Diceros bicornis minor: one gene and its partner. Each later gene encodes a partner of the first gene's protein in a complex. Links are inferred from orthologs where the notes say so. Each region holds a gene or a part of one and is shown in the gene's direction. Other genes may lie near its edges. The genes, in order: GIPC1 and PLXND1.

The links.
Region 2: the proteins of GIPC1 (region 1) and PLXND1 are in contact, whole or in part, in a crystal structure (PDB 5V6T), measured with the Mus musculus proteins. The link is inferred for Diceros bicornis minor from reciprocal best matches to the Homo sapiens genes GIPC1 and PLXND1. Residues at the interface, in NP_061241.1 of Mus musculus: His61, Glu141, Ala142, Leu143, Gly144, Leu145, Thr146, Ile147, Thr148, Asp149, Asn150, Gly151, Phe156, Lys158, Arg159, Arg190, His191, Tyr192, Glu193, Ala195, Arg196, Leu198, Lys199; in NP_080652.2 of Mus musculus: Glu1400, Met1889, Glu1893, Arg1899, Gln1902, Gln1904, His1905, Glu1908, Ile1918, Tyr1919, Cys1921, Tyr1922, Ser1923, Glu1924, Ala1925.

What each region holds. Positions count from the first base shown.
Region 1 is NC_080769.1:3,390,477-3,400,610, forward strand, and holds the start of GIPC1 (PDZ domain-containing protein GIPC1), read left to right. Parts: upstream 1-5,298; 5' UTR 5,299-5,348; intron 5,349-7,502; 5' UTR 7,503-7,557; intron 7,558-8,573; exon of another isoform or gene 8,574-8,790; intron 8,791-9,071; 5' UTR 9,072-9,158; intron 9,159-10,134. UniProt on the Homo sapiens protein: May be involved in G protein-linked signaling.
Region 2 is NC_080741.1:87,711,339-87,721,219, forward strand, and holds the start of PLXND1 (plexin-D1), read left to right. Parts: upstream 1-5,962; 5' UTR 5,963-6,008; coding exon 6,009-7,352; intron 7,353-9,881. UniProt on the Homo sapiens protein: Cell surface receptor for SEMA4A and for class 3 semaphorins, such as SEMA3A, SEMA3C and SEMA3E. Plays an important role in cell-cell signaling, and in regulating the migration of a wide spectrum of cell types.

The sequences.
Region 1 (10,134 bases):
ACAGTGCAACCCATACCTCCAGAGGGACGTCACGTGTGCTGGGGTTGGAGCTCAAGTGCCACAGCCATGAGTTGCTGTGCAACTTTGAGGCAGTGGCTCCCCTTCTCTGAGCCTGTCTCCTCCTCTCTAGAATGGGGGCGATAGCCAGTGGGATTAATCCTAAAGAGCAGCCAGCACAGGGCCTGGAACAGTAAGGGCTTAATAAAGGGGTCTATTTTTATAATGTTTCTATTTGGAAAGACTGTGTTTATTCATCTCTGTGCCCTCAACACAGTTTAATAATACCAGCTGTTGTTCACTGAGCACTCACTATCTGCCCAGCACCACTGTAGGTGTTTGACAATCATAATCACTTTAGGAGGGGGGTCCCATTCTGATCACTGCTTTATAGACGAGGAGGTTAAGGCACATGGGGGCCCAGGGTGCGCTGTGAGCAGCGCAGGTTACGGAGAGATGTGACCGTCCTACCCTACACCCCGAGGGGGCCTAGGGAGGGAATGAGGATGCAGGAAAAGTAAAACCAGGGAATGAATAGAAGAAAAACGTTGTGATCTAAGGGTGGAAAAGGCCTCCTTAATGAAATGTCACGGGTGCAAATGACAAAATGGATAAGTTCAATTATATTGAAGTTAAGAATTTCCTCCCATTGAAGGATATCACGGGTGAAGCAAATCGTCACATAACGGTGGGGGAATATGTTTGCAATGTCTAATACTGTGCCCACCTCACAGGGTCATTAGGAGGGTTAAACGGTTTAGTAAATATAAATTTCTTACAACAGCGTCTGGCTCGTGGGAAGCTCTGTCATTATTGAAACTGGCCAGGGCCCAGTATCCCGGCGCTATCCAGTAGAATATGCAAGCTCATACCAAGTTGTAAATTTTCTAGGAGCGCATTCAAATAGTAAAAAGAAACAAGTGAAATTAATTTGAATAATACACTTTAGCCCAATACATCCACATTATCATTATTACGATATATAATCAGTATAAAAAAGAATTAATGAGATGTGATATTTTACGTCCTCTTCTTTCTAATAAGCCTTAGAATCCAGTGTGTACTCTACACTTACGGCACATCTCAGTTTGTATTAGCCCCATTTCAAGTGCTCCGTAACCACGTGTGGAGAGGGGAGAGTTTGTGTTAGATCAGACTGGACAGTAAGATCTAGACTCTGTGAGGAACACGTGCACATCAACAAGAAAAACACAGCTACCCCCACTGCAAAATGGATAGAGTATGAACGGGCAATTTACAGAAGAGGAGAATCCAAAGGCCGTCAAGGAAATGAGGAGATGCTCCAAGTGATCAGAAATCAGAGAAATGTAAAATAAAGCAATGGGGACATCACTTGACAGTGAGTCAGAGTGGCAAAATTTAGAATGGCTGGCAGAGATGTGGGGACATGGCACCCTCCTGCACTGCCAGTGGGTGTGACAAGGGCAGCTAGCCTGGGGGACCACAGAGCAATGGTCTGTGCCCTGTGCCCCAGCATCTCTGCATTCAGGTCTCTCTCCTGTGGAGAGTCTCACCAGGTCCCTGAGGGGGCAGGTCCATGGCTGTTCACTGTGGCGTGGGGAGCTGGAGGCTGCCTGGTGTCCATCCCTGGAGGACAGAGGACTAAGATGTGAGGGATGCATTCCATGGAGTTCCATGGAGCACCAAGCCACAGTTAGAAGAAAACAGATTCAAGAGATTAGCAATACAGAGGGATCTTCAAGGCCTAGTGGAAAACAAGCAAACAACTAAACAAGCAATACAGTACTGAGTGGAAAAAAAGTAAGAAGCCAAATATAACAGAACATGCACATTTTCAAGGAAAGACACAAACAAAACAGTGCATATTAAAGCCACTGGATGGCAGCCTCTGGGGATGGGAGGGAAATGGGGGTACTTCTTTCCAATGTTTATTTTGAAATTTTCAAAGCTATAGGAAACTTACAAGAATACTGAAATGAATACCCATATACCACCCTCCTGGATTCAGCCGCAATTGTTACTATTTTGCCACATTCATTTTTTTCTCTCTCTCTCTCTCTCTCCCTATATCTTTTTTTTTTTTAAAGATTTTATTTATTTATTTTTCCCCCCCAAAGCCCCAGTAGATAGTTGTATGTCATAGCTGCACATCCTTCTAGTTGCTGTACGTGGGACGCGGCCTCAGCATGGCAGGAGAAGCGGTGCGTCGGTGCACGCCCGGGATCTGAACCCGGGCTGCCAGCAGCGGAGCGCGCGCACCTAACCGCTAAGCCACGGGGCCGGCCCTATCTCCCTATATCTTAATACTAAGGTATACCATATTATCATAGTGTATATAAAATGTTGCATACATACATATTTCTTTTTCTGAAGCATTTGACAGTTGCCGGCATCACGAACTTACCTCTAAATAACGCACTGTGTATCTCGTAAGAATGAGAACACTCTCTTACCTAACCACAGCACAGTCCTCACACTCAGGAAATTTAACATGGATATATTATTATCTAATATCCACTCAACATTCAAATGTCCCCAATTATCCCAAGAATATCCTTCTGTAGTGTTTCATCTTTTTTTGAAATTTTTATCAAGGATCCAACTAAGGATCATACATTGGGGCAGGCCTCGTAGCCTAGTGGTTAAGTGCGCGCACTCCAATGCTGGCGGCCCGGGTTCTCGGGTTCGGATCCCGGGCGCGTACGATGCGCCGCTTGTCAGGCCATGCTGTGGCGGCATCCCATATACAGTGGAGGAAGATAGGCATGGATGTTAGCGCAGGACCAATCTTCCTCAGCAAAAAAAGAGGAGGATTGTCATGGATGTTAGCTCAGGGCTGATCCTCCTCGCAAAAAAAAGAAAAAAAAAAAAGGATCATACATTGATTTTGGTTGTCATCTCTCTTTTGTCTCCTTCAATCTAGAACTGTTCCCCAGCCTTTTATCCATTCATTCATTAAATTAATGGCTAGATTTTGCCTTTCACGACACAGATCTGTTTCAAGAGTCCAGGTCAGTTTTTTTTGCAGAACGTCCCTCAGTCAGGACGTGTCTGGTTGTCTCCTCAGGTTAAACACTTCTGGCAGGATGTTGTGTCCTCCTCAGTACATCACACACAGCGGGGGCACGTGAGGACAGCCTGTCCCATCACTGGTGATGGCAACTTTAATTCTCTGGTTAAGGTTCTCTGACTTCAGGTTCATCCACTCTGCCTTTTCCAAGGTACCTTTTCCAAGGTACCTTTTCCCCATTGTTTTCAGGCATGCCTCTTGTGTGTGTGTGTATGTGTGTGTGTGTGAGGAAGATTGGCCTTCAGCTAACATCTGTTGCCAATCTTCCTCCTTTTTCCCTTTTTTCTCCCCAAAGTCCCAGTAGATAGTTGTATGTCATGGTTGTACATCCTTCTAGTTCTTCTATGTGGGATGGTGCCTCAGCATGGCCTGATGAGTGGTGCATAGGTCTGTGCCCAGGATCCGAACCAGGGAAACCCGGGCAGCCGAAGCGGAGTGCCTGAACTTAACAGCTACACCACCGGGCCGGCCCCTAGGCAGCCTCTTGAGCTATGAAATCGAGTAGGAAGTGCCTGGCACTGCTCTGTGCCCTTGGGCAACCCCCTCACCCCTCCCTCGGCACTTCCTCATCAGTCAAGGTGGATTCAGGCTCAAGATTCTGCTGCCCTGAAGCCTCCCATGCTGCCCTCTCCAGGTGTGCAGGAGCAGCTCAGATATCAGGGGCAAGCAGGGCAATGGCAGTCCCACACAGGGCTCTGGCCCAGCCCAGGCACCTGATTGCTCAGTGAGGAGGCAGAGGGCAGCAGAACAGGAAGAGAAGGACAATGGCTGTGCCTGTTGCCATGGCAGGCACGGTGTTTGCCAGCTGGGTGGGGCCAGCCAGGCAGCCCTCAGCAGCTCAGCCCAAGGCCCACTTTCCCACCTCACGTGGCACTCTTGCAGGCCCTGGCGCGGCTGGGGTGCACAGCAGCTCACTCTGGGGACAACAAAGACCCAGTCCTTCAATGAGGCTTGAGCAGGTTCTCAGCAATTAGAGGCCTCCAGGAACTACAAATCCCAGAACACACAGCGAACTCCAGGTCCAGCCCCAGCTGCCCAAGTGGCTGGCTTTGAACCAGAACAAGGAAATCTCACCTGTCCTGGCAACTGAGAGTCCTGGCCTGGGCGAGGTGCATTCGTGTCTTTGTTTCTTGGACGTGTTCCTGCCTGAGAAATCCCAGGTGCAAGCCAAACCTAGAGGTGGTATTACCTGGTCCTTTCATCCACACTTGTGCTGAGACCCGGCTCTGGGCCAGTCTCAGGACCAGGGCGGGGGGAACACTCAGATGGAGGAGACAGACTTATGAAGGGTCCCCTCCCTGAGGGCGGAGGCTAGGGTTAGCTGGGTACCCTTTGCAATCTAGCACATAGCATGTGCTCGGTAAGTATTTGCTGGTCTAACCAACAAGTGAGCAGGCCATCTCGCCCTTGTCCCCCATTCCATTGCACCCTTTCTTTGGTAGCTCCTCCGATATTGCACCACCCTAAAGCACGCTGGATCTCCCCATCCGGCCTCCAGGCCTTTGCAGGCACTGTTCCCTCTACCAGGAGCATCTTCAGCTTACTCGCTGAAGTGTCCCTAGAGACAGGACAAAGCCTGGCACGGAGCAGGGGCACATTAAATATTTGATGAGTGAATGAATGAATGAATGAATGCCCTTGTCCATTGTACACCCCAGGAAGCTGGGACACTCGGGACCCTTCCTATTCATTTCGTCCCCGGCCCGCCCGCCTGGAATGAATGCCTCTTTTTGTCCGCTCCGAGGATGGCCAGGCTGGGGCAGGGGCAGGCCCGGCAGAGGACCGGATTAGGGGCTGGTCTCCTAAAGGGTCCGCTTTTCCGGACTTCCGGAGTTCGCATCCCCTCCCCGGGGCTCAGCCTGGGTCACCTGGCTCCCACGGCCAGTCCCTCGCCCCTCACCCCCCAGTCACCCCAGACGGACGCTCAGCCGGCAGCACGAGGTCAGGGGCCCCAGCTTCCCACTGGTCGTACTCTCCTTCCCTCCCCGCGATGGGCCGGCCCGGCGCAGCTCCCCCTCCGCCGCGCGGTGGTACGGCCCGCCGCGGCCTAGGCGGGGCGGGAAGGTCCACTGCGCCGCGCGGGGGGCGGGCAGGGCCGCGCGGGCGGGGATCCCTCTGGAATGCTTCCGTCGGGCCCACCCGGGCGCGGAGGCGCGGCGCGGCGCCGATTGGCCGCGAGCTCGGGCGGCCGCTCCTGATTGGCCGGGCGCGGGCGCCGGCCCCGCCCCCCCGCGGCTGCGGGAGAGGCCCGGCCGGAGTTTGCGGAGGGCCGAGCGGGGCGCGCAGGGCGGCGGCGCAGGTGAGTGTCCGGCGGGCGGAGCGCGGCGCGGCGGCTCGGGGCCCCTCGCGCGGACCGCGGGGTCGCACCGCGGGGGCCCGGCCGGTCGCGCGGGTGGGGCCGGCCCTTGCACGCGGCGGGAGGTCGAGGCCGGGCGCGGGGATGCCCGAGGCCTCCTCCGGCGGGGCGCCTCCGTTCCCGCTGGGGGCAGCGGGCAAACGCCCCCCGCCGCCGGGATGCGGTCTCCGGCCGCACCCCTGCCGCCCGCGTCCCTCTGGACAGTCCCCGTCCCGGCGGGGACAGGCGCGGCGTCGGCGTTTCGGAGCGCTCCCGGGTGCCTCCCCGGAGCTGGCCGCGTCCCAGTGCCCCAGGGCCTGAGGGGGCCTGGGCAGGACTGAGGTCCCGATAATAATGGTGAAACAGCCGCCCGGCTAGCATTTATTCAACATTTCCCTGTCACGTATTTACCGTGCCTGCCGCTGAATCTAAACACCTCGTGGAAGGTGCTGTTACTTCTTCCAGAGGTGAAGCAGCAGACCCAGAGAGCTGGCGTGGCTGGCGCAAGGGCACACAGCTAGTAAGCGGCAGCTCTGGGACTCGAACCCATGCCTCAGAGTCCAGAACTGGAGTCTCAACCACTAGAGCGGATGCCCCGTGGCTCCCTGGCTCAGGTGTTCCTGGCCAGCTCCCCCCACACAACCACACACACCATCTGGGCCACACCTTCTGGTCTTTGATTCCCTCCCCCAGAGGTGACCAGACACCAGCCGCTCAAACAGGAAGCTGCTCCCATGTCCCTTCTCCCCTGAGCCGAAGAGGCAAGGCCGAGAAGGTCCTGAGAAGAGAGTGACAGCTTCAGGGGAGATAGGCAGGGGGCCAGGACGCTGGGGTCCTGTGCCTGTTGGGCCCCTGGGAAGCCTGGGCCAAGGCCAGGCAGTAGGCATTCTCCCCGGAAACACCCAGGAGCCGGTTTTTCAAGAGTGAATCAGAGGCCTCCCGCCCTCCCCTCCAAAGCAGTACCCAACTGGAAAGGGGGGCCTGGGCATGGTGTCCCCCTCCTCCGGCTTCTGTGACCTCCCAGGAACCCCCTCCCCTCCTCCTGCTGCCCTCACTGTGGCTGTGGGGTTACTAAGTGTCCAGCCCCTCCGGAGAAGAGAGGGTGGGGGTGCTGGAATTCCAGCCGACCAGCTCAGCCGGGCTGCAGCTCCTTTCTCCATCCCTGCTTGCGGGGTTGAGAGGAGGCTGGGAGCATCGGAGGGCGTGGTGGTTAGCAGCTCCAGGCTGCTGTGTGCTGAGGATAGAGGAGTTTGGGGAGGAGTCAGAATGAGGACATAAGACATTCATTCTTTCTACAATGTTGATTAAGCACCTACAATGGGCCAGGCACTGTTCTTGGCACATAGGATACAGCAGTGAACGGGACAAAAATCCCTGCTCTCTGGAAGCTGCCATTGTAGTGGAAGGGAGGGACAGGTGACAGCAGTTAACCAGTAAATAAGAAAGGTACCCGCAGACAGTGCTGAGTGCTCTGAATAAAATATGAGGGGGCCTTGGGAGAATGTGTGGGCAAAGGGGCTCTCAGAGGAGGTGACTTTGGGGCCGAGGTCTGAATGACAAAAAGAAGCCAGCCCTGCACAGGTCAGGCAGGGGCACAGCTGGGGCGCAGGCTCTGTGGCCGGACCCAGCTTGGAGTAGCGTGCCTGGGGTGGGAGATGCAGCCGAAGTCTCTGGGTCACAAGGAGTCCAGAGCTTTTCCTCCGTCAGGTGGGAAACCATTGTAAGATTTGAGGCTGGGGAGGGACGCGATCTGGTTTATGTTTTAAAATAGAGACATGAAGTTAAATAACAGCCTAAGACTGGAAGACAAGAGTCCTGCCCGGGCAACTTGTAATTAAGTTCATGGGCCTAAGCCATCGGGACCACAGGGGCGGTTCCCACAGGCTGGGGCAAGCCAGGGAGGCTGCCTGGAGGAGGTGGCCTGGAGTAGGGCTTCTCAGGCAGAGAGGACTGGGATGTTCCTGGGCAGGGCAGGAGAGGAGGCAATAATAATAATGACAATAATGATAACAGCTTCCTTAAACTGAATATCAAGCAAAGTGCTAATCCAGTTGAATGCATAATCTTTTTGGATTCCCATATGCACCCTGAGAGACAGGAATTCTGCCCATTTTTCAGATGAGGAAACTGAGGCCCCATCAAGTGAAGTGACTTGCCCACAGCCACGCAGCTGGTAAGTGGGGTGGGGTCTCAACCCAGGCCACCCTGCCTCTTGTGGCCTGGAGGGCAAATTCATTAATCATCCACTTTTCTTACCACCGTTATGCCCCCTCACAAGTGGGGACACAGAAGCCAGCCTGAAGCAGGCAGCAAGTAGATGCAGAATATGGAGGTTGGGACTTGGTGATCAGAATGTGTGGGCCCTGGGAAAAAGAGGAAGTTTGAATTTTGGCAGCTGATTGAAAGATGGTACAGATGGAAATAGTAGTAATAATCACCAATATTTATGAACCCTTATTGTGTGCCAGGAACTGTTCCAGGCCCATGCCTGATTTCCTTGGAGCTCAGAGAGGTTAAGACACTTGCCCAAGGTCACACAGCTAGTAAGTGGAGAAGTCAGGTTCCAGACTCATGTTCTTAGCATCTTGCTAAGATATATGGGGGGTGGGGGGAGGGGAACCAGAGGAGGTGATGGTGAGGTTTTTTTTTTAGCATCATTGAATGTAATGAAATAACTTGAGGGAGCAGTACTGGTTTATTCATTCAGAATTCAAATGTTGTCAAATATTCGGTGTGTGCCTACTGTGTGCTAGATCCAGTGTTGGGTGCTATGGATAGAGAGATGAGGTAACCAATGAAACACTAGTATCCAGTACATGTAAAGAGTTCCCACAAATCAATAAGAAAAAAAGATGGGCAGTGCAATTAAAAACAGACAGACCATGCACTTTTTAAAAATGGGCAAAGACTTAAACAGGCAGTTCACAAAAGGGCAAATCCAAACGGTTAATAAATGTGTTAAAAGTTGTTCAGCATCATTGATTATGAGGGGAATGAAAAACAAAACCACAATGAAAGAGGACAGAGACGCTCCCTGTCTTCCTGGCTACAGGAGGCACCTTCCCTGTGCACGGAATGATGCTGGGAGGCAAAGGATGGGGGACCCCAGAGGTAGGGCTTATGCTGTTGCTGGGGAGACAGGACCCTCTTGAGGGCAGTGACTACAGCCTGTACCCCTTATCTCCCCAGAGCCGGGCACAGGGACTGGTGGGCTGGTGAACATTAGGATCAGTCATTCATCCATTCATTCATTCAAGAAATATTTATCGACCACCCGCTGTGTGCCAGGTACTGCTCTCTGCACCGAGAATATAGGGATGAATAAGACAGACAAGGTTCCCTGCCCTTTCAGAAAACAGACAATGAATGAGATAAATGAATGAAATATATATTCCACCTGAAAGAGGTGAGAGACGGAGTTGTGTGGATGCCGGGGGGCACAGCCAGTGCAAAGGCCCTGAGGCTGGACTTGACCTAGTGTGTTGGAGGAACGGGGACGAGGCCCATGTGGCTGGAGGGAGCGAGCGATGGGGAGAGTGGGAGGAGACGAGGGCAGGCAGGAGATGGGCCCAGATCTTCTGGGGCCTGTGGGCTGAGGGGAGGACATTGACTTTTACTCCGAGTGAGGTAGGAGCCTTGGGAGGAGTGAGGGCACAGTACAGATGTGACGTGACTTATGTTTTACAGGCTCCCTCTGGCTGCTGTGTTGACAAGAGACGGTAGGGGCAAGGGCAGGAGCTGGGAGACCCAGAGGAGGCGCCTGCACTAGTCTAGGTGAGTGACCGTGGGGCCGGACCAGGTGATGTTACTGGAGATGTTGGAGAGCAGGTGGATGAATGAATGAATGAATGAATGAATGGAGGCATGAGAATGGATGCAGCCCACTGGGCTGGACTGAATCCAGGATGGCCCCTTGGAAGAGGTGATCTGAAGGGAAGGAGCAGGAAGTCCCCTAGACACAGAAAAATAGAATTTGGCCTAGTTTGATCCTCCCCACAGCCTAGCTGGGTGGGTGGAATGTCCCCATTTGCAGACCAGGCACCTGAGGCCCAGGCGCTTAGGGGACAGCTTTGTGGTTACGGCCTTGGACTTAGGAGTCAGACATACTTGAGGGTGCAGCCTGTCTCTGTGACTTTGGACCTGTGACTTAAAAGTGACATCTTAACTCTTTCCAGTTGAGAAGGCCGGTCGCTGCTGTTCCCTTCCCTCCTGACGCTCTCCCTTGCTCACTCCCCTCTGGCGCCCTGCTCTCTCGCTCATCTGTGAGTCTGCTCAGAACCTCCATGGCTCCCACCTCACTCAGAGCAGAAGCCAAGTCCTTCCTCCTCCCACAAGGCCCTGCTCGCTCTGCCCCGCCCCTCCCTGCCCCGCCTCCTGCTGCTGCCCCCCTGACTCACTCTGTTCCAACCACATAGGCCTCCTTGCTGTTCCTCCAACATGCCAAGCACATCCCCACCTCAAGGCCTTTGTGCTGGCTGCTCCCTCTGCCTGGAACGTTCTTGCCTCACATCCTCATATGGATAAGTCTTCCTGACGTGCAGGTCTCAGGTTCGGCTTCACCTGCTCAGAGAGGCCAGGCCCTCCCTGACCGCATCTGTAGAACTCGTCTTGTTTTATTGTCTCCATCACATTATTAGAAATTACATTAGACATTTACACGTTTGCTTGCTCACTGTGCATCTTCCGCTCTGGACTGCATGCTTCTGGACAGCATGCACAGAGCCCCAGCTAGCCTAGATAGCACCTAGAA
Region 2 (9,881 bases), on another chromosome or scaffold:
ATCAACAGCAGTGAACTTCAATGGTTTTTGCAAGGATTGGCTGGGAGGTGTCTGGTGCACAGTAGGTGCTCAGCCCACGTGATTCCCCGTCCTCCTCAGCTCTGGGCTTCCCCTGCCGCCCTGTGGCTCCTGTCATGGGGAACACATTCATGGAGCACCCACTGTCCACTCAGGAATCGCCTGCCCCTCAGCCTGCTCTGGGCGGCTGTCCCCCGGAGAATGTGGCAGCCCGGGAATGTGGGTGGGGGCCCCTGGGGCGGCCTTGCCCCTCCGCCGCTGCTGTTGGACAGAGGCCTCAGTGTGGAGCTGCTGGGTCCTTTCACAGCCCAGACCCATGACTGGACGTCTGAGAATGCCGCCCATTATCCGCCTCACAGAGCACAAAGGGGCCACGCCGGGGGCTCAGCAAGCCAGGCGCCCGGATGGGTGCAGGGGCTGCGGGTCCCCACCACGGAGGGCAAGGACGGGCCCGGAGTCGGGAGAGGGAGAGGGCGTCTCTCACACACAGGAATTAGAGCCATTTCCTCCAGTCCCACGGGGACACAAAGACAGAGAGATGACCAGGGGGCTTGTCTCCACCGGCAAGGGCAGGCCAGCCCTCCTGAGCCCTGAAACCAGACCTAGAAGGCCACCCCCCCCTCCCCATCCCACTCGCAGGGTGGCATCCAACGGAGGCAGGAGGGAGCGCTCTAGAACTCCGAAAGGGGGCAAAACCCTCGGTTCCATGGCGTCTGTAGTGGGGAAATGCCAACAGAGCCGTGCCAACAGCACCGACTGTCTGCAACAAACATGCGTTAGCGTGACGGGTGCTGTGTCTCCTGTCAGGGCTGCCACTTGAGGGTCACCCTGGCCCCTCCTGGGCCACTCCAGTAGGACATGGTGGCAATGACAGGAGATCCCATGTGGAAGGGCAATGCAGGCTAGAGAGGGGGCAGGGGTCACTTTGGGCCATCTATTTGCTGTGTGACCTTGGGCAAGGCTCTAGGCCTCTCTGAGCCTTGGCACCCACATTTATGAGAAGAGGGGAGGGAGACCTGGTGGAGGGTTAATTAAATGAGATGCTCTTGCGCATCTGAGCCCTTACCGGCGTGTCCCGATGACAGGCCTCCGTGCAGCTGCCATGAGGATGGTACCATTATCGCAGTGGGGGCTCTCCTGAGTGGGTACAGATGGTGGATTTGAGCAGTCTGGGGGCAGGACCCGTGTTTCAGAGCTGGAAGGTCAGGGAAGCCACACTGCCTGACATGCCCGGCACCCTGACACGCAGATGTCTTCCATCCTGACCGCAGCTGTGAGTTTACGCTCCCCTTTTCCAGATAGGGAAACTGAGGCTCGAAGAGGGCTGGTGCCACCAAGGCCACACAGGTGGTGAGGGGCAGAGCTGGGCCTGGGACGCAGTGGCCAAGAGCAGGCTGTGGAGGCTGGTGAGCTGTGCAGCTGTAGGCAAGTGGTGGCACTCCCCCACCCTCAGTGTCCCCATCTGTGAAACGGGGATGATAAGACCCACCTCTCAGAGTGGCTCCCAGGCAGAAACCAGATGGGTGAAGCCCCCGAGAAGCCACAGTGATGGCTCCTGGCACCATCCAGGCCCACGCTGGGCGTGCTGGGCTGCCTCGGAGGATTCTGTTTCCAGCACCTTCCTGTCACCAAGGTTGCACTTGGGGCGGTCATCGTGTCAGGAGCGTTGCCTGCAGGGGAAGCGTTCTCTGAGGCCAGGCCCAAGGGAAGGGAGGCAGGAGCCCCCTCCTCCCAGCACAGCCCAGGCCCCACTGTTATTTTTTCCAACTGAAGAAGGCAAACATTTCCTCCTCCTCACGGCTCTGCCCTGGGTAGCCAGATGGCTGGAGATGACCAGGGCAGGAGGGGGCCCCGCCCCGGCAGTGGTGGAAGGCCCGGGCTTGCCTTCGCTGGGCCAGCCTGGCCACTGACCACTGGTTCCCAGGCACGGAGCTGCCCCATCTGGACTGCCGCGTCCTCATCGACAAAGGCACTACGTTAGGCTGACATGTCCCAGGTTTCCGGCATTTTGCATCACCTGGATTATGACCTACTTCATCTTTGTCTTTAAATTAACTCATGTTTTAAAAACTTCAATAAATGCATTTATCAAGCAAGCTTTTCATCATTATCGTACTTGGAAACCCAGTATCACTTGCCTAAACGAGGAAATAACTGCAAATATTATAAAGAAAACAAAGAACTATAAGTACATTCTAGAATGCCCATGTCAACAGCACCAAGCTTGAGACCCTCTTGCTATTAAAAATGGACAGTGACAGGGGCCGGCCCCGTGGCTTAGCAGTTAGGTGCGCACGCTCCGCTGCTGGCGGCCCAGGTTTGGATCCGGGCACGCACCAACGCACCACTTCTCTGGCCGTGCTGAGGCCGCGTCCCACATACAGCAACTAGAAGGATGTGCAGCTATGACGTACAACTATCTACTGGGGCTTTGGGGGAAAAATAAATAAATAAAATTCCAAAAAAAAAACAAAAAAGGACAGTGACAAATGTTACAGAGGCGATAAAGACACACAAACCCCAAAACGGAGACCTTCTCCTCCATCTAATCAGAAGATTTGAACAAAAATGAGAAGGGCCCGAATCACAGGGTGAGCTGATAGTTAATCCAGGGTTGGTTAATCTGGGTGAGTTAATTCAGAGTTAGTTAATTCTGGGTGCCACCTAACCACCCTCTGCTGGGTGCCATCAATCTCCCCTTAGGTTCCCTCTAAAATCCCTTCTGGGAGGACACTCACAGCATCTTAGCAGGCCAGGGAAGATGTGAGTTCATTCATTCCTTTCTTCCTTCCTTCAGCCAATAGTTACCGGCACCTCTTCTGCCCAGCCAGGGGTATAGCATAGCTGCCCCCAGACCTGTCCTGGCCTGAAGGAGCTCCCAGCTAACGGGTGCAGGGGAGGAAGCACAGGATCTGAAGACAGACTGGGTTCACATCCTCACCTTGCTAATGCCCCTCAGTTTCTCCATCTGTGAAACGGGTCCAATGATCCTGCCTTGTCAGCTAGCTGTGAAGATGGCATGAGGCTGTGCAGGGCAGTGCTGGATGCAGCCCTTAGCCCTTGGTGGATGGCGGCTTTGCTAGCCACCGCGAGCACTCATGACAGGAAGTGGGGCCCTGGTGGGCCATTGCTCAATGTAAGGGGAGAGAAACTGCCTTTGCCCAGTGCCTGCCATGTGTCTGGCACCGTGCTTTCTGGTACGTTATGTTCTTCAAGTCTCACAACCTCCCAGGGGCCAGTGTGCTATTATGATTGACCTTGTTCTACAGACGAGGAAACTGAGGCTCAGAGAAGGCAAGTGCCTTGCCCTAGGCCACACAGCACTTCCACCTCCAGCTTATGCCAGGACACTTGGACCCTGGCCGTGCCCTCTGCAGTCTAACCTAGCCCTGCATAGCCCCAGGCCGGGCAGCTCCTGAGTCCAGCACTCAGCTTGGCAGGTAGTGTGTCCAAAGTGCCGGAACCACCCACTGTGCGCCAGGCTGAGCTGTGAGGACGCAGAGCATTATCGTCAAAGCTCAGTGGGGGGAGCTGCAGGATGTGGCAAGATGAGCCCGGAGACAGGAAGGAAGCTAGGAGGGGCGAGGGAGGGAGAGAGGGGTGGGGGATAAGGAGAGAGACAGAGACACAGAGAGGTAGGAGAGACACATACAAAGAGACAGAGAGTGGAAAGAGAGGGAGGTGGGAAGAGACTGGGGGAGAGAGAGAGACAGAGAGAGAAAGCGGGAGGAGCAAAAAGACAGACGAAAACAGAGATGGGGTGGGGAAGGCTAGAGAAAGATAAGACCCGGAGAGAGACAGACAGATGGACTGATGGGGACGGCTGTGAGAAGGGGTGGGGGGAGAGACATTAGGGCAGCCTCCTGCCCCTCTGCCAGGTTCCCCAGTTGCTCCCACTGGTGGCACAACATGAACCCTCCCCACCCAGAGATGGAGGTGCTGTCCCCTGAGTGGCCTTGATCCCCCCCACCGGGGGAAGAAGGGCAGAGCCTCCGATTTACTGCAGTTGAACACTGCTGGCCGTCAAAGCAGTGGCCAGACCGGGGATGGAGGGGGTTGGAAAAAGGCAGGCAAATGCTGATGGCAGGAAGGCGAGGGTGTTGGGGTGAGGGAAGTAGGGGACAGCTGTAGGCCTGGCCCTTCCTGCCTACCCTGTGGGGAACAGAGAAACCTCCTGTCCTTCCTTCCTGGCCAGGTGGGAACTAGTGAGGTCAGGCCTCAGAGCAAGGGCCATGGGGCCCCATGTGGCAGTTGGGGGTCTGATGGGAGCCCCCCGTTCTGAGATGCCAGACCTGGCCTGGGGTTGGGGGAGGTTTGGGAGTTTCAATCATTGTAGCTCTGCTCCTTAGCAGCTGTGCAAGTGGGCCTGGTACCTTCACCTCTGGGGCCCCGGGTTCTGAATGTGGAAGATGGCATAATAGGACCAGCCTCAGAGAGTAGCTGTGAGGACGAAGTGAGTCAATACATATAAGGTGCTCAGCACAGTGGCCGGTGCGGGTCAGGCCATGTTTGAACACTCCCCATGCCACAGACTGTGGACGCTCACCATACAGGCTCTGTGACCTTGGAGTCATCACTGTCTGACTCCGACCCCAGCGCCTACTTTCTCCTTCCAGGCGAAAGGAGAAGCGGGCCCAGTGGCGGCTCACATGTGGCTGATCTTCCTTCCACTAAATCTGGGAGGATTTTCAGTCCTTCCAGAGCCTGAATAGAGAGGTAGTGCCCGGTGAGGTTGGGGGGGTGAAGGGCAGCGGCCCACAGGGCTGGGTCTCCACAGGAGGCAACTGTGGGCCTCCAGGGGCCACTCGCCGCCAGGACCAAGGCCTCACTCTGGATGTCGCTGACCCACCCGGCCTGCTCCCTGGCCTGGCACAGGCCTCAAATCGCTCCTCTTTCCCTGTTTTCCTGGTTTATGCGTCTGACCCTTGAATTGGTCCCTCAGTCTCTGCCACTTGTAAAACCTCTCTTATGGGGATGGAGTTTGGGGAACAGATCATGGGGTCTGAAGAGGTGGTGACCCCGGCCTGGCTGGCCCTGGGCGTGCCCTGACCCTGGGGTCTAAGGCCTGGACAGCGGCCCGCGAAAGGGAGTGGAAGGGGAGAGACCCTGAGTGTGAGACGGGGAGGGTCAGGGAGGGCCGAGGATGAGGAAGGCAGAGGAGAGAAGAGGGTAGACAGAGATGGAGGGGAGAGGGGCCAGAGGGATGGGGAGAGAGGCAGACGGTCCAGAGGGGAGGAAGCAGAGGGAGCCACGGAGAGAAGGAGAAAGCCAGGGACAGAAGAGCAGAGAGGGGAGAGGGAGAATGAGGCAGGGGATAAAGGAGGGAGGCGGGTGACAGGGACGGGAGAGCGAGAGAGAAGGAGAAGCAGAGGCAGAAAAGGAGAGAGACAGCACGCACGGAGTTGGGGGGTTAGAGAGAGACGGGGAGACACTGAGAGGGACACACACGGAGAGGGAGAGAGACAGGGACCGCGGGGAGAAAGAGAGGAAGGAAACGAGAGAACAAACCAGAGCGAGACAGGCCCAGCGGCCAAAAGGAAGGAAGGCGCAAGAGGAGCGGGCGACGGAGGCGGAGGCAGGGCCGGGAGAGGGAGCCTCGGGCCACGGGCGCCGCGCGGGCGGGTCGCGGAGGGCGCGGGGCGGCCCGACCCCCCGACAGTCGAGCGCGGGCCCGGCAGCCAGAGCGCGGGCGGGCTGCCCGGGGCGGGGGCGCGGGGCGGGAGGGGCCCGGGGGCGGGGCGCGGCCGGGCGGGGCGCGCCGGGGGCGGGGAGCGAGGGCGTGTCCGCAGCGGAGCCGCCCCCGCCCCGCCCCCGGGCTGCGCCGCGCGGCTGAGCCGGGCCCGGGCGCCGGGGCCGGGGGCGGCTGGCGCGGGCAGGAAGCGCCTCGCGGCCCGGGCCCGCCCCCCGCCTCCTGCCGCCTCCCGGCTCCCGGCGCCCGGCCGCGCCGCGCCCCATGCACTCGCCGCGCCGCGCAGCCCGCGCACGCCCGGATGGCTCGTCGCGCCGCGGGCGGCGCACCCCTTAGCGCCCGGGCCGCCGCGGCCAGCGCCCCGCCGCCGCGCCCGCCGTTCCGCGCCCCTCCGGGGCCGCGGGGCCGGCCGCCGTGCCCGCCGCCGCTGCTGCTGCTGCTGCTGCTCCTCGGGGCGGCGTGGGCCGGCGCCCTGGAGATCCAGCGCCGGTTCCCCTCGCCCACGCCCACCAACAACTTCGCCCTGGACGGCGCGGCGGGGACGGTGTACCTGGCGGCCGTCAACCGCCTCTACCAGCTGTCGGGCGCCAACCTGAGCCTGGAGGTCGAGGCGGCCGTGGGCCCGGTGGCCGACAGCCCGCTGTGTCACGCCCCGCAGCTGCCGCAGGCCTCGTGCGAGCACCCGCGGCGCCTCACCGACAACTACAACAAGATCCTGCAGCTGGACCCCGGCCAGGGCCTGGTGGTCGTGTGCGGCTCCATCTACCAGGGCTTCTGCCAGCTGCGGCGCCGGGGCAACATCTCGGCCGTGGCCGTGCGCTTCCCGCCCGCCGCGCCGCCCGCCGAGCCCGTCACTGTGTTCCCCAGCATGCTGAACGTGGCGGCCAACCACCCGAACGCGTCCACCGTGGGGCTGGTGCTGCCGCCGGCCGCCGGCACGGGGGGCAGCCGCCTGCTCGTGGGCGCCACGTACACCGGCTACGGCAGCGCCTTCTTCCCGCGCAACCGCAGCCTGGAGGACCACCGCTTCGAGAACACGCCCGAGATCGCCATCCGCTCCCTGGATGCGCGCGGCGACTTGGCCAAGCTCTTCACCTTCGACCTCAACCCCTCCGACGACAACATTCTCAAGATCAAGCAGGGTGCCAAGGAGCAGCACAAGCTGGGCTTCGTGCGCGCCTTCCTGCATCCGCCTGACCCTCCGCCGGGCGCCCCGTCCTACGCGTACCTGGCGCTCAACAGCGAGGCGCGCGCGGGCGACAAGGAGAGCCAGGCGCGGAGCCTGCTGGCGCGCATCTGCCTGCCCCGCGGCGCCGGCGGCGACGCCAAGAAGCTCACCGAGTCCTACATCCAGCTGGGCTTGCAGTGCGCGGGCGGCGCGGGCCGCGGCGACCTCTACAGCCGCCTGGTGTCCGTCTTCCCCGCGCGCGAGCTGCTCTTTGCGGTCTTCGAGCGGCCCCAGGGACCCCCGGCGGCCCGCGCGGCCCCGGCGGCTCTCTGCGCCTTCCGCTTCGCCGACGTGCAAGCAGCCATCCGCGCTGCACGCACCGCCTGCTTCGTTGAACCCGCACCCGACGTGGTGGCTGTGCTCGACAGCGTGGTGCAGGGCACCGGGCCAGCCTGCGAGCGCAAGCGGAACATCCAGGTACACCTAGGCAGCGGGGGCGCGGGGGACCAGCACAGGGGGCTCGGGGGAGAGCGTGCCGATAACTGGGCGGGTTGTGCGCCGTGCCGGTCACAGGTGTGAGCGTGCCGGTACCCAGATGTGCGTGTGTGGGGATCCAGTTGTGTACTCCGGGCCACAAATGCATATTCGGGGATCAGGTGTGCTCGCGAGGATACAGGTGTCAGCCGAGGTGGGGGCACTGGCGTGAATATGGCCCAGATGTGCGCATGCGGGCACTCAAGTGAGTGCGGGATTACAGGTGTGCATACCTGAGTGTGCGGGGGTGGGGGGCGGTCCGGGCTTCGGATGGGTACCCAGGTGCGCGCTGAAGAGAGACCGAGGTGCCTACACAGCCCAGGTGTGCGTGTGGGGGTCCTAGGTCCGGGCGGAGCGCATAGCAGTGAGTGCACTGTCTGACCGAAGGCGTGCTGGGCCGGCTGTGCGAGCCTCTCAGGGCTGCCATTGGGAGTTGGCAGATGTATGCACGGGCCTGGTGGGGAGGCATGCAAGTGTGGACCAGGGCCCAGCAGATGTGGGGGGGCAGCAAGGTGGGAGTGACAGGGGTGTGTGCACCAGACTTTTGTGTCCCCGAGCTGGGTCGTGCAGGAGTGTAGGGCAGGAAGCCTGTGCTGCAGGGACACTGGTGCAACAGGGCAGGCCTGGGTGCCCAGTGGGACGTGTGTGGCAGGGGACACAGGTGTTTGGGAACCAGTATGTACTCTGGGGAGGGCGCTGGTGTTCTTGAGGCCAACTTTAATTCACTCCTTCAACCCATATTTACTGAACACCTGGCATAGACCAAGCATGGAGGCTATGGGGTAGATAGTAACGCTTGTGGAATGCCTGCTAAGCGTGTTATGTGGCGTAACTCTCTTGGTTTTCACAACAACTCTCTGAGGTGGGCTCTGTTCTTATCCCCGTTTTACAGATGAAGAAACTGAGGCACAGAGAGGTTAAGTAACTTGCTGAAGATCACCCAGCTGGGAACTAACAGAGGCGGAATTTGAATCCAGGCTGTCTGGCTTCCGTATCTGTGTTCTTAATGCTGCTGAGCCTTTGCTGCCTTACAGACATGGGGCTCAGTGTGTGTGTGTGTGTTTGTGTTGGAGTCCAGGGAGAAGGGGTGGGGAGGTGCCGGGGCCAGGAGAGTGGAGGGAGGTGAACAGGACTGTGTGCAGATCGGGGTGTGCAGGAGGCAGGAGAGGGCCATGGGGCTCAGGAGGGAATAAAGAGGGGCCAGGTATGTGGGCACCCCAGCTCGGTGGGAATGGGGGCAGGTGTCTGGGGCTGGGTTGGGCAGTGGCGAAGGGGCCAGGTTGGGATCAGTGGGTGTGTTGACCTGGGTGGAACGTGACACAGTGGTGCAGGGGGAACTTTGTGCAGTTCCCTCAAGGAAGCCCACCAGCAAGGGGTCACTTCTTCAGGGGGCCCTGGAGGTGGGACCCTGTGCCTTTTCCACACTTGCCATCCCGCTCTGAGTCTGGGCAGTCCATTTCAACCCCAGGCTTTGTCACTCCCCTAGGAAGCCTCAGTTTCTCCCTCAGGAAAATGCTGAACTCAGCCTTCTCCTGTGGTTACAGAGCCCTCCTTGGGGCCAGGCCCCCCGTGGCTCTGCCCCATCCCTTCTGAGTGGTCCTCAGGCTGGGGCAAAAATCTCATGAGATTAATTATTCCCCTGTGGGTGTGTCCGACACGGGGGCTTTCAGAAACGCAGATTCCTCTCCTGCCGTCGGGCTCCCGCGGCTGCCCACCACTGGGCTGGCTGGCCGCCCTGAAAATAAAGGGCGCTGTTGGTGAGCGGGGCAGACTGTCCCAGGGAGCGGCGCTGCCACCCGCAGGGGCCGACCGGCTCAGGGCCAGCTGCCCAGCGCCACGGCTGCAACATCCACCACCGTTCCCCTCCCCGGGGCTATATCCCCCAACAGGCTGTGTTTGAGGGGACAAGCTTTGTTTGTGGGATTCTCCAAGTCGGAGGAGGTGAGTGGGAGTCACCCCCGCCCTGTGAAGGGAAGACCCTGTCTGGGCCGGGGTCAAGGTTGGGCCAGCGCCCAGGCATGTCCATCCAAGCCCTGAGTGTGAGTTGATCTGTGGGATTCCTCCAGCCGCAGCAGTCTCTGCCTCCCCCTCTGGCAGGAACCGTCCTGGTTCCCACGGTCCCTCGTCCCCAGCCTGGCCTGGAGCAGTGACTCATTCTGCTGGAGGGGGCTGGGGCTTCCCTCTCCTGAGGGGGCAGGGCCTCTCCAGGGACAGGGCCCCAGGGACAGAGTGGCTGAGGGCCTCCTCCTCACCCCAAGGCAAGGCGGATTCCCGGCCCTCCTTGGCCACTCTCCCTGTATCCTCCACACTCCTCTCCCCTTCCCCATGCCCAGCTGTGGGCACAGGCCAGTGCTGCTGGGCAGTACCTCCTAGGTGTGTCCAAGGCCCCAGGGTCTGGTCCTCTAGCACAGCCGTGGGCGGGGGTGGGGAGGGTGATAGTTATTCTTGGGCCAGGCTGTTGCCAACTCCCCA